Linked DNA regions of Pelodiscus sinensis. The main gene of each other region encodes a partner of the protein of the gene in region 2 in a complex. Links are inferred from orthologs where the notes say so. Each region holds a gene or a part of one and is shown on either strand. Other genes may lie near its edges.

What was found.
Region 1: the proteins of PPP1CC (region 2) and MRAS are in contact, whole or in part, in a cryo-EM structure (PDB 7SD0), measured with the Homo sapiens proteins. The link is inferred for Pelodiscus sinensis from reciprocal best matches to the Homo sapiens genes PPP1CC and MRAS. Residues at the interface, in NP_002701.1 of Homo sapiens: Pro178, Asp179, Gln181, Gln185, Arg188, Ile189, Met190, Thr193, Asp194, Pro196, Gln198, Leu201, Trp216; in NP_001078518.1 of Homo sapiens: Ala5, Ile31, Gln35, Lys36, Ile37, Val39, Asp41, Glu47, Asp48, Ser49, Leu51, Lys52, His53.
Region 3: the proteins of PPP1CC (region 2) and CDCA2 are in contact, whole or in part, in a crystal structure (PDB 5INB), measured with the Homo sapiens proteins. The link is inferred for Pelodiscus sinensis from reciprocal best matches to the Homo sapiens genes PPP1CC and CDCA2. Residues at the interface, in NP_002701.1 of Homo sapiens: Arg20, Gly21, Ser22, Pro24, Lys60, Tyr70, Asp71, Leu73, Arg74, Glu77, Tyr78, Asp166, Lys168, Ile169, Asp242, Leu243, Tyr255, Phe257, Arg261, Pro270, Asn271, Ser284, Asp286, Glu287, Thr288, Leu289, Met290, Cys291, Ser292, Phe293; in NP_689775.2 of Homo sapiens: Lys391, Arg392, Val393, Thr394, Phe395, Gly396, Asp398, Leu399, Ser400, Pro401, Glu402, Val403, Phe404, Asp405, Glu406, Ser407, Leu408, Pro409, Ala410, Asn411, Pro413, Leu414, Gly417, Gly418, Thr419, Pro420, Val421, Cys422.

Annotation. Positions count from the first base shown.
Region 1 is NC_134717.1:6,282,948-6,286,691, reverse strand, and holds the start of MRAS (ras-related protein M-Ras), read right to left. Parts: upstream 2,575-3,744; 5' UTR 2,470-2,574; intron 2,390-2,469; exon of another isoform or gene 2,215-2,389; intron 1-2,214. UniProt on the Homo sapiens protein: Signal transducer in the Ras-MAPK signaling pathway that regulates cell proliferation and survival. Core component of the SHOC2-MRAS-PP1c (SMP) holophosphatase complex that regulates the MAPK pathway activation.
Region 2 is NC_134725.1:34,181,494-34,185,237, forward strand, and holds the start of PPP1CC (serine/threonine-protein phosphatase PP1-gamma catalytic subunit), read right to left. Parts: upstream 2,313-3,744; 5' UTR 2,184-2,312; coding exon 2,129-2,183; intron 1-2,128. UniProt on the Homo sapiens protein: Protein phosphatase that associates with over 200 regulatory proteins to form highly specific holoenzymes which dephosphorylate hundreds of biological targets.
Region 3 is NC_134738.1:9,384,375-9,388,118, reverse strand, and holds the start of CDCA2 (cell division cycle-associated protein 2), read left to right. Parts: upstream 1-814; 5' UTR 815-985; exon of another isoform or gene 986-1,065; intron 1,066-1,665; exon of another isoform or gene 1,666-2,478; 5' UTR 2,479-2,518; intron 2,519-2,769; 5' UTR 2,770-2,925; coding exon 2,926-3,466; intron 3,467-3,744. Other genes in the region: BTB/POZ domain-containing protein KCTD9, read right to left, coding at 313-360. UniProt on the Homo sapiens protein: Regulator of chromosome structure during mitosis required for condensin-depleted chromosomes to retain their compact architecture through anaphase.

The DNA.
Region 1 (3,744 bases), on a different chromosome or scaffold from region 2:
TTCCAGATCAGAAAAATAGGATTTTCCAATTGATTGTAACCCTTAAAGCCTGAAATAAGTCTGGCCTTAAAACTGTAACCTTAAGTGAGATCCCTAAAGCAAATGGCCTAGATTTTTATACTTAGATACTTGATGTTAGGGAACCAATGTTGGAAATTTTGGCCAGCTTACTTCACACTCAGCAATGCTCCGTGGTTAGTGTTATATATTTACATTTCAGCCATACCTTCAGGCCTCTCAACCATTGCTCCCTTTAATCTTTTCCATCTATGTGCGGAATAATTTTTTAATGTGCACCGAGACATTTGCAGTTGTGCACCGATAGAGACACAACATCTGTGGGTGCTCTGCTAATCAGCTGGACGGCATCTGAATTTCTCCTGAGCAGCCACAAAAGCGCACAACTTACAGGAAACACTGGTCTCAATGTGACTACAAAGACAGTCTCTGTCCCCTGAAGCTTACAGTCCAAAGTTTCCATCGTTCACCCTGGAACGGTTATAAATGTATATATAAAATGATAGCAGTCAACGATATGCTAAATAAATCAGACTGATTCTCCTGCACCGCATGATCTCCTGAGTAGAGCACAGGACAGAGAGGCATCCAGTGTGGGTTCTAATCCCAGCACTTGACTGTATCTTGCGTCATTGTGGGATGGTCAGTTAACTTCTCGGTGCTTCAGTTGCTCAGCCTGTAAAACAGGGATTTGCTACTTTTTGCAAAGTGCTTTGAGATCTCGGGATGGAAAGACGCACCAAGTAACATTACTAATTCACAGCACCAGTGGTCACAAATTCAAATAGCTAGGGAGTTTTCAGAGTCATCTCAGATTTCTAGTACTTTGTCTCCGCAAATAGGAGTTAAAGCCAATTAGTTTGCATTATTAAATACATTTGGCATTGTTTTTTGATAATTTTTCCATTAACTCTAATAAAGAAGCTTCTGTGCCGACAAATTTCATTTAGAGTCCTAGGAAACGACTCCTGGCTCTAGAACCAAAATACAAAATGAAAGGCTCCGCTTCCCAGACAGTTAGCAACAATATCCTGTAGTCCAAAACTAGCTCAATGCAAAACTATGAGGTGGGGAATATCAGGGAACTGGATACCAACATCACATTAAAGTAAATGATAATTAAGCATCTTTGAAAAATATAAGCCTGGTGTCTTTGTGAGAGTCAGACACTTTAAAAGAAGGTATTTTATTTACACATTATCACTAAGCATCTCTTCCCCCAACCATCCCTCTTCACTTTGGGCACTAGTTTTATCTATACAGAAAATTCAATCAGACCCACTGGGCGTATCACTTTTTATTAAAAATTATCACGTCCGTGGAAAAATGAAGATCGCACATATTTCAGCGGCATTGAAGCAATTTGCGTAGTGGGGCTGTCGAAAGCTATGGAACAAAACTGTACATCCTGTAAAACCATTTCAAATCGGGGCTGCTGCCACCCCCAGATCCTGCACCCCTGAAATATTTTTTAAGATGAGGAAGCTTTTTCCTCCAAAATCACCCCTGTGCATAAACCCTTTCTTTCTTCCACTATTTGATCTGAGGAAGTGGGTCTGGCCCACGAAAGCTCATCATCTAATAAACCATCTTGTTAGTCTTTAAAGTGCTACATTGTCCTGCATTTTGCCCCTTTCTTTCTGACACTGAGCCATAGAAAGAGAGAAAGGGGTCTCCTCTCCATGGAGGAGTCTATGAAACGTGGCTCACAGCGGATCCAGGGCAAAGTGTCACTAGGAACCACATCTTGCCAGGGGGGCACAGACAAGGAGGGAGACGCGCCACATGCTACAGCAGAGTTGGAGCTGGAGAGTAGCGGGCGTGTCCGAAAGAAGAGCAGCCCCGTCTAACCGCGGCTCACTTCTCCTTTTAAAAGGGGAAAGTCTCATCCCCCGCCCCCAGGGAGCTGCTAGGGGGAACTTCAACTTGCGCCACTTCTCGCCAGCCAGAGGGTACATGGCCCGCTTCAAACAGCCCCCGGGGGCTCCAGACAGGACCTGGTTACAACAGGTCGGTCCGTGCCACATGCCCCTACCTGGAGAAGCCTGAGTAGAAAGCCCCCCCCGCCGGCTCGGCCCCCTGGCCCTGCCAACAGGGGGCAGGGAAGCGCTGCCAGAGGGCACCCCCAGCTGGAACTATGCGAAGCGCTTGCAGCAAGCGAGGGCTACGCTCCGGATCGCGTTCCATCGCACTCACCTCGGGGCCGTGCCCAGGACCGGTCCGAGCGGCGCCTCGCTCCCTTACAGCAGCCCCCTGCCCTGGGTGGGCGTGGGAAGCGCTGCCCCTGCCACCCCCTCCACCATCCCCGCCTGCCCCAGCGCCCCTTAAAGCGGCAGCAGCCCGTCTGCCTGCAGATTGAACACTTCCACCATTCTTTATATTGCAAGAGCGGCGGCTAAAAATAGCCCGGCTCCCAAAAAAAGGGGGGGGCGGGGTGGGTTAGTTGCTCACTTGGCAGACGCAATTTCAGCTGCCCGGGGTCTTTGGAAAATAGGCTGCGCGCTGCAGAGCGGCCCAGCCTCCCCCACTCTGGGTTTAGCCGAGGCCGGAGGGGCCAAGCTGCTCTTTAGAGCTGCCCCAGAAAAAAAAAAAAAAAAAGCAACCATCCCTCCCTTTGACAAATGGACTCGTCCGCCTAGTGTGCTCCAGCGAGTTGCCTTTAAGGTGGACCGAGAGGTGGGGAACTGGGCAGCGGGACCTTAAGGCGTTTTTGGAGTGTGAGACCACTTCATAGAATCATAGAATAATAGGACTGGAAGGGACCTCGAGAGGTCATCGAGTCCAGCCCCCCGCCCTCAAGGCAGGATCAAGCTCCGTCTACACCATCCCTGACAGATGTCTATCTAACCTGTTCTTAAATATCTCCAGAGGGGGAGATTCCACCACCTCCCTTAGTCATCCCGAATCCAAGGCTGTTTACACAGGGGCTGGTGTGCTGGTCTGGTCAGATAAACGAAGCGAATGGATTTTCATCTTCTTTTCCAAGTTCTTATCAGCCTCTTGTAACTATTTAGTCCAGAGGGTTCCCAAACTTTTTGATATGGGGACCAGTAAAGCCATTCACCAGCTTTTGGAGGGCTGGTAACATTCATTTGCATATTTGCATACTCTTTAAACAAATGATAAATATGCAAATAAGTTGTTTCTGGTCCTCCCAAAGCCCCCAGTGCCAGCTTTAGCAAAGCTTTTGATATGGTCACCCACAATATTCTTGCCAGCAAGTTAAGGGAATATGGATTGGATACATGGACTGTAAGATGGATAGCAAGCTGGCTAGACCAGGGTTTCCCAAACCTGACCGGTCCCAGATGAGGGATTTTTTGGACCAGGGAAGGTCATTTCTGGGCTCCTGGTTCCCCCCCTCCCCACTAGGTTTCTTTGCACCTCCTTCTCTTGCAACCCAACTGAGCTGCCCACCCCCGCTGGTTCCCTGCACCTCCCCCACAATCCAAGGGAGAGCAGCACCAGTTCCCCGCAGCCCATCTGAGCTGCCCTTCTGTTCCCTATGCCTTCCTCCATCCACCTCAGCCCAGCTGAGCCCCGCACTGGTTCCCTGCATGCCTCCCCCGCGGCCCAGCTGAGCCCCGTTTCCCTGCACCTCCTCCCAAGCCCCGCAAAACTGCTGAGCCCAGCTCTGATTTCCTGTCCCTTCCTCCCCTTGATCCTAGCCCTGGGTTCCTGGCACCACCCTCCTCCTGCAGCCCAGGTGAGCCCAGCGCCCTACAC
Region 2 (3,744 bases):
GGGAGGAACACATGAAGTAGGAACAACAGTTGTTAGGATGTTTAACTAGCATCAAATGATTTAAAGCTAGAAAATACCTGCCCAAACAAATTAAAATCAAGAAATTCAAGAGGATTTTTATGTAAAATTTCACTGTAAAAGCTTTTGCATCAATTAAATGCCACATTAGTTACTACTGCTAATTTGTAGTTCTAAGTACAGTGACAGACATCCTGTGAGTATCTTGTTAGTGAGTCCTTTAAAGTCCTATTTATGTAGCATTTAAAGGTGGCAGCTGTCACATTCCCAACCAACTTAAAAAAAAAAATCTCAAGTCATATATAGTATACTAGAAGATTTACCCAATGTTAATTGAGTCCTTAAGTCAATTTTTGTTTTTTCTTCATTTAAATCACTGCTCTGGGTGGGCTGGGAACGAGGCAGTCAGTATGCAGACTGCCCTGGCTGTGTGTGTGTGTGTGTATGGGGGGGGGGGGGGGAGAGGAAGTGCAGCAGCTTGGGGGTCAGATGAAAAGCACCTCTTCATGACTGCTCCAGCGGGCACAGCCAGAAGAGGGGTATATATCCAGTTGGCTAGGGCAGGTCCAGGTTAGTCTGCCCCCCTGTACTCCACAGCCAGAGTGAACAATGCAGCAAACTGTGCACTTTCCCCACTCCCTGAGGAAGGGGAATAGCCAGCAATATTCCTGTGCAAGTTTGGGGGGGGGGGGGTTAACCCCCCCTGCCCTCTCTAAAGGGTATCTGGGGTGGCTGGGGCTTGGGCAGTTTGGGGGAGGGGGGAGAAGAGTGCAGGTCCCTTTCACTTTCCCGGTGATTTTGTCTTTTCTGAATGTTTTCTGAGAAACAATCCCATTGCAGACACATCCAAACCTTTATTTATTTATATATATATATAAACTGTTTAGGTGTATATATATTTTACACCTAAACAGTAGCACAAAGAGGAAAAACCAAGACACAATATGCTCTCTCTGTACATATATATTTGGCACAATCCCAAATCAAATCCACTAGATTTGTAAATCTTAATTTCTGTAGGGATAACGATGATACTTTCTCCTGGCCTTTCATTATCCAATATGTTCAAAAAACCTTACAAGGGAAAAAAAAAGATGAAAGTCATTTCTCTAATATCTGGTTCAGCAGAATCCTAGGTTACTTTGCGCTAAATGGGAGGGAAAAAAAATCCTGAACAAGCTCTTCCAGGGTAAATTCAGATGAGACATCGGAGTACATAGAAGGTCCTGAGACAAGCTGGATAAACCCTATTCTTATTTAATTTTGCTACCTGCTCCAAGGAGAATGTCATTGGCTATTTGCAAAGATCAATAAAACTATTTTAACCTGATTCCGTCCAAACAGAAAAACAATAAAACCCCATGACAAAAGACTAGACACTGAGTGCACCTACCTATCCTCTCCCACTCCAAAGCATTACAGATAGACAATAAGACAAATCTTTTCCATAAGCTTAGAAGGACCTTATCCTCAGAGCAAAACCACCCCCTTCCACTTAAAAAAAAAAAAAGTCAAAAACGAGTGTGGATGAACTAAAACTCCTATTCTTACACCCACCGAGACCTGCATTCCCACAGATAACGAGTTACTCTGGCTCAATTACAGACGAGACCCACCTGAAGGGCCAAAAAGCAGGACACTTCCCCCTCCCCCCCATCTTTCTAAAGCCTCCCACAACATGCTCGGCCTCTGACCTTTCGAGGAGTTGCATTTCCACGCACAGCCAAGCGTCCCTTCACTCGGCACGTGCGCGGCAGGGAGCGGGAGACAGGACCCTGGACAAGTAGCTGCCTCACCCCCCCCCCAATCGCCCTACGGTTGCCACGCGCGGGTGGGGGGGGACCCGCTGCAGGCAGCAGCTCCAGCCGAGGCAGCGGCGTTGCAGCCCGGCAGGCGCGGTGCGGGGAACCTCCACGCAGGCGAAGGGCCGGTCACCGGGGCACGGCAAAGCCCCGCGGACGCTGCTCGAGGGGGGCCGAGCAGCGGGCTCAGGCCACAGGCCCCCTCCCCGCCCGGGCCGCCCCCCCCGGCATCCCCGCGAGCCTCCCTCTGCAGCCGAGCGCTTCCCTCCTGGAACCGCCCCCCCCCCCGGGCCCGCCCGCTTCCTCACCCTCCAGCAGCCGTTGGATGATGCTGTCGATGTTGAGCTTGTCAATGTCCGCCATGGCCTCCCAGCGGCACCGCAGCGCCCGCACCCGAATCTCCCGCCTCTGGCCGGCCCCTCGCAGCAGACACCCGAAGCCGAACAAAATGGCCGCCGTCCCTTCTCAAGAAGCTCGGCCGGCGCACGAATACTTAATGGTCGCCGCGCGGCGGCCGGAACCTTTGCTAGGAAGAGCGGGTTCGCTTCACCCAGCGTCTAGCACTCACGAGATCCTTCCGCCGGGAGGGGGCGGGAGCGGGAGCAGGGGAATAGCTTGGAAGCCGGCAGGTGCGCGCGCCGTTGCAAAGCGATGGAGTGTTCGAGGGGGCCGGCCGCAGGTTCCCTCCACGTGCGCCTTGGCCCCAGTCAGTCAGAGCAAGCCCAGTATCCCCCCTGCGTGAGCAGTACAATCGAGAATAAGGGACAACCCATAACTATAACAATCCATGAAACAGGACTGTGCAGCACTTTAAAGACTAATAAGATGGTTTATTAGGTGATGAGCTTTTGTGAGCCAGACTCACTTCTAGTATTTGCACCATCTGTCCAGTAGAAAAAAAATCAGAAAATACCAGAGTTGTGCAATGTCCAGTATTTTGTGAATTTCCGGCTGGGTGCGGGAGGGAAGCCTGGCAGGGGCGGGGGGAGTGACTGAGAGGCGGTGCACAATTGGCTTTGGGAGCCCTGTGGTCACGCCCCCCCTCCCAGCTATTGCACAGGACCAGAGGCTTCAAGTGCCAATTGTGGCCGTCTCCAAACTGGGAGCTTCTGGTCTGCCTGCCGGGGGCACAGCCAGAAGGAGTCTGGCTGCGGCCAGTGGCTGCACCCACCCTCGCCAGGTCTTTGCTTCCTGCCCCCCCCTTCCTCCGTCCCCCACTCCTCCTGTCCAGCCCCACAGCCCCCAATCCTCCCCAGCTCTGCTTACCACCCCCTCTTCCTGCTGGCCAGCCCCACGGCCCCCGGACACCACCCCCTGCCAGCACTGCTTCCCGCCCCCCTTCCTCCGCCCCCCCATCCTCTCCTTCAACCCCACAGCCCCCTATCCCCCCCCAGCTCTGCTTCCTGCCCCCCTTCCATCCAGCCCCGCCCCCTTCCCCTCCCTCCCTGGTGCGCTCAGCTGGGAGCTGTGCCCTGGTGGGGGAGCAAGTGGCGGTAAGCGGCCGTTTGGGGTCTGTGCTCCCCACGGAGTTCCCCATGAGAGCACGGACCCCAAACGGCTGCTTGCTGCCGCTTGCTCCCCTGCCGGGACCCAGCTGAGTGGCGCAGCGCGCCACGGAGGGAGGGAAAGGGGGGCAGGGTGCTGACATACACGGCCAGGGAGCGTGGCTGTGTACGTCAGCGTTACAGACGCACAGACACTGGGCTACTATATATATGATGGCCAAGCCATCAGAGTCTTCTGTTGTTAAGGATCGCTATGAGACTGGATATGCCAAGTCTTGATAGGTCATCTACATCTGAAACTTTGTCTTGCCACTTAATATTCATGATTCCGCAAAGGCAGCAAAGGTGGAAACTAATCAATTTTTTCTCTTGGCACGAGTAGGTAGCCCAGGTCTCAGATCCATAAAGCAAGAAGCTTG
Region 3 (3,744 bases), on a different chromosome or scaffold from region 2:
CCCTCAAACCCCGCCCCTAACTAGGCTCCTCCCCCTCAACACCTCCCCCTCAAACCCCGCCCCTAACTAGGCTCCTCCCCCTCAACACCTACCCCTCAAACCCCGCCCCTAACTAGGCTCCTCCCCCACCTTAACCCCCCCTCGCATTCCCTCCCGCTTCCAACGTCTCCTCTCCCTCGCGCACCCCCCCTATTAGTTCCCCTCCCCCACCTCTTCTCAGGGTCCCCATGCCCCCCCCAAAACGTCCTCCCCCACCATGCAAGCTCCGGAGTCCCCCCGCCCTCTTCTCCTCAGAGCCCCTTGCCCCCTCACCTTCCCATTCTTGGGGGTGCCATTGACGAACAGGGTGACCCGCCTCATGCTCCTACGATGCTTCTAAACCCGGAAACCAGCAGCGGTGACTGACAAGGCCGGGACCCAACCAGAGCCGCACTTCCCCCTCCTCTTGCCCAATAGAATGCAGAGGTGGGAGGGACGTTCATTGGTGCAGGTGTGTGGAGGTTAGGCAGGGAGAATTGACAGGGGGCGGTCTGCCTCGGGGGGGGGCGGGGTCTCGGTTGTAGCCAATCAGAACTCTTACAGTCAGGCAGCTTGAAAAGAGTAGGGCGTCACCCTTCACGGCCAAATGGCATGAGGCGTATTTGCATAAAAGGGGGGTCGACTCACTCCCCGCCTTCTGATTGGCTCGTGTATGTCACGTGAGGGAAGGACCGGCCGTTTGATGGGCTCTATTTCAAAACTAAGAACTCTCCAATCGCGACGAAGCTCTGTTCCCTGCGCGCTGCCGGGACTCGCTGCAGGGAAAAGAGTCCCGTGTCGCTGAGCCGCCGGCAGAGACTGAGCACCTAAGTCTGCCAGCGACAGCCTTCTTCTTTGCCCCTTCCATGAGGCGGATGGCACATGCGCAGATTGGTGGGGCTAGCAGGGGAGGCGCCTCAGCGCTGGCCCAGCCTGCGGAGGGATACGCACGTGCATGGAGGAGGCAGTGAGTTTGAATGTTAGAGGCGCGTCTAGCCTAGTGGAGTTTCCTCAGTCGGATCGTTCGGGATCCAGGAGCCGCTGGGGGTGAGGGGGGAGCGGAAGCAGGGGGAGGGGCGGGGGAGGCTAATGAGGGGGGCAGGGGGCGGGGGAGGCTAATGAGGGGGGTGGGGGGCGGGGGAGGCTAATGAGGGGGGCAGGGGGCGGGGGCGGGGGAGGCTGAGGGGGGGCGGGGGTGGGGTGGGGGAGGCTAATGAGGGGAGCAGATAATGGGGTGGGGGAGGCTAATGAGGGGGGGCGGGGGTGGGGGAGGCTAATGAGGGGGAGCAGATAACGGGGGTGAGGGAGGCTAATGAGGGGGGCAGGGGGCGGGGGAGGCTAATGAGGGGGAGCGGGGGTGGGGGAGGCTAATGAGGGGAGCAGATAATGGGGTGGGGGAGGCTAATGAGGGGGGGCGGGGGTGGGGGAGGCTAATGAGGGGGAGCAGATAACGGGGGTGAGGGAGGCTAATGAGGGGGGGCGGGGGTGGGGGAGGCTAATGAGGGGGAGCGGGGGTGGGGGAGGCTAATGAGGGGGAGCGGGGGTGGGGGAGGCTAATGAGGGGGGCAGGTATGATAGGAGTTGAGGAAATGCCCATGGAAACAACTGGTTGGAGAATGGGCTGGGGAGGGAGGAAGTTGCTGGCTGGGTGGATATTGCTTGATAGACCCTTGGGCACAGGGGCTCTTCTCTGCTGCCCCTCCTGGAGCTGTGTTGGCCCCTGTTACCGGGTTTCTTTTTGTCATGTGCTACATGCCCCTGTGATCCCCTTGAGAATATGTGGAATATGCTCCCTTTTCTCTTTGTGCGCGCCCCCCCCCTCCCTTCAAGCTGCATCCCCTTGGATGGGGGTCAAGAATGTGCAGCAGTGAGCAGCAGCTGTGACTCGGCATGCTTGCCCAACAAAATTTCCCGTCTTCTTTTCTACCCATTGCCCTCACTCTCCATTTCACCTTGTTGCCCAGTTGAATGACAGGCTTTCTGTACCACCAAGTGCTCCCAATCTATGGTCACATTTTAGTATGATAAAGGGAACAATGAAACAACTAAAAGTAGATAACCTGGGCCTCCCATTCATATATGTCAAACAATGCCACATGCACAGCATGGTATAACAGGCTTTTCCCCCTTCTTAAAACACCTGTTATTTTAAAGGATCAACTTACTCTTAATACTCTGTTCCATCTGCCAACTGGTGTTGAGCTTTTCAAAGCAGGAAGGCCCACTTTGATATTGAATAAACCTGCAGCATCATGTTGTTACAATGTTCTTTTAATAACATTTTGTCACAGCCTGACACACTTAGTTAAGCATTGTGATGCTCAGGTGCAAGACTTGTGCTTATACTGCTTTGAATTTTGGGCATGAATTTCTGTTTAACTTTTCACTATCCTATTTGCCATACTTAGATAACATCTTTTTATTTAAATGAACAAACTGATTTATCCTGTTGTGCTCTAGATGATCATTATCTCAGAAGCTGGATATTTCTTTAATGAAAGTGAGTACTGGCTTGTGCATTTTTAAAAAAACAACAAATGATATGGTAGCACTTTATAGACTAGCAAAACATGTAGATGGTGGTATTAGATTTCGTGAGGTGGTGATTTGGAAATCTCCACCGTAATGTTGAATTAGCTTAGATGGTTTTTGTGTTTAATATAGACATCAACATACGTCAGAATGTTATGCATATAAGATCTGATATTTACAGTAAACTTCATAGCTAACATTTCATGCTTCTCTCCATAGAATGGCAGCAGTATCTTCTAATGGCTTGATGTCTGCATGTTATGGTGATTGCTTTTACAAAAAAACATAATGACGACGTCTTAATGACAGACGCATGATTACAAGAGAGCAACAAGACTGGTCATATTTTTTTAAGCTCAGAAAACAGCACTGACAATGCGCAGAAAATCTAGACAAATTATAAATACTGTTGCTGATGTCAAAGAAAATTTGAAAGGACTTATTGAAGAAGAGAAGGTTTATTCTCTGCCCATTCCAAAAGACAAGTTTGTCAAAATGGATGAATCAAAAAGCTCATACCTTTCAGAAATTGAAAATTTAAATGACCTGAGATCTACACATGTATTTAAACCTGGAGTAAAATGCAACGAATACATAAGGAGAAAATCATATCAGAACAGCAAGGATGATAGTAAACTGGCAGTAAACAAAAGCCTTTCTTTTAAACTAAAGGGAAACTTACTTCAACCTTCCTTGTCCTTTTTGACAGCACACAAACCTCAAAGTCCTTTTTCAAAAGGCAGCCCTACATTCTTGGATGATGCAAGCTATGTGACACCTGATAAAGGTGAAGCAGATGTAAAACCAGATTGTGAAACATCAGAGAATGTAATGAAGACACCTGTTGATTTTGCAAGTGTAACTATAGCTGAATTTGGGATTACTCCAGAGTCTTTTACTGCTAAGCCATCTATAGGTAAGGGGTTAGCAAAGTGACTCTTGGAATGAATGTTTCAAAATACTGTGGTTCATTTGTGAATGAGAACATTCTCTTAAATATTTAATGGTGGTTGTGAATGGTGGTCCAGAAGATTTCAGGGCATTTGGGACAATTTCTGATAACACAGATATAGGTTTTATAAGTAGTGATTTGGAAATAGTACAGGAGATGGAAATTGTGAAGAATTGTCCAACATTCATTATAGCTGGTGTATAGAGTAATTTGCTATTAAACATGTGTTTTCTTGGGGAGAG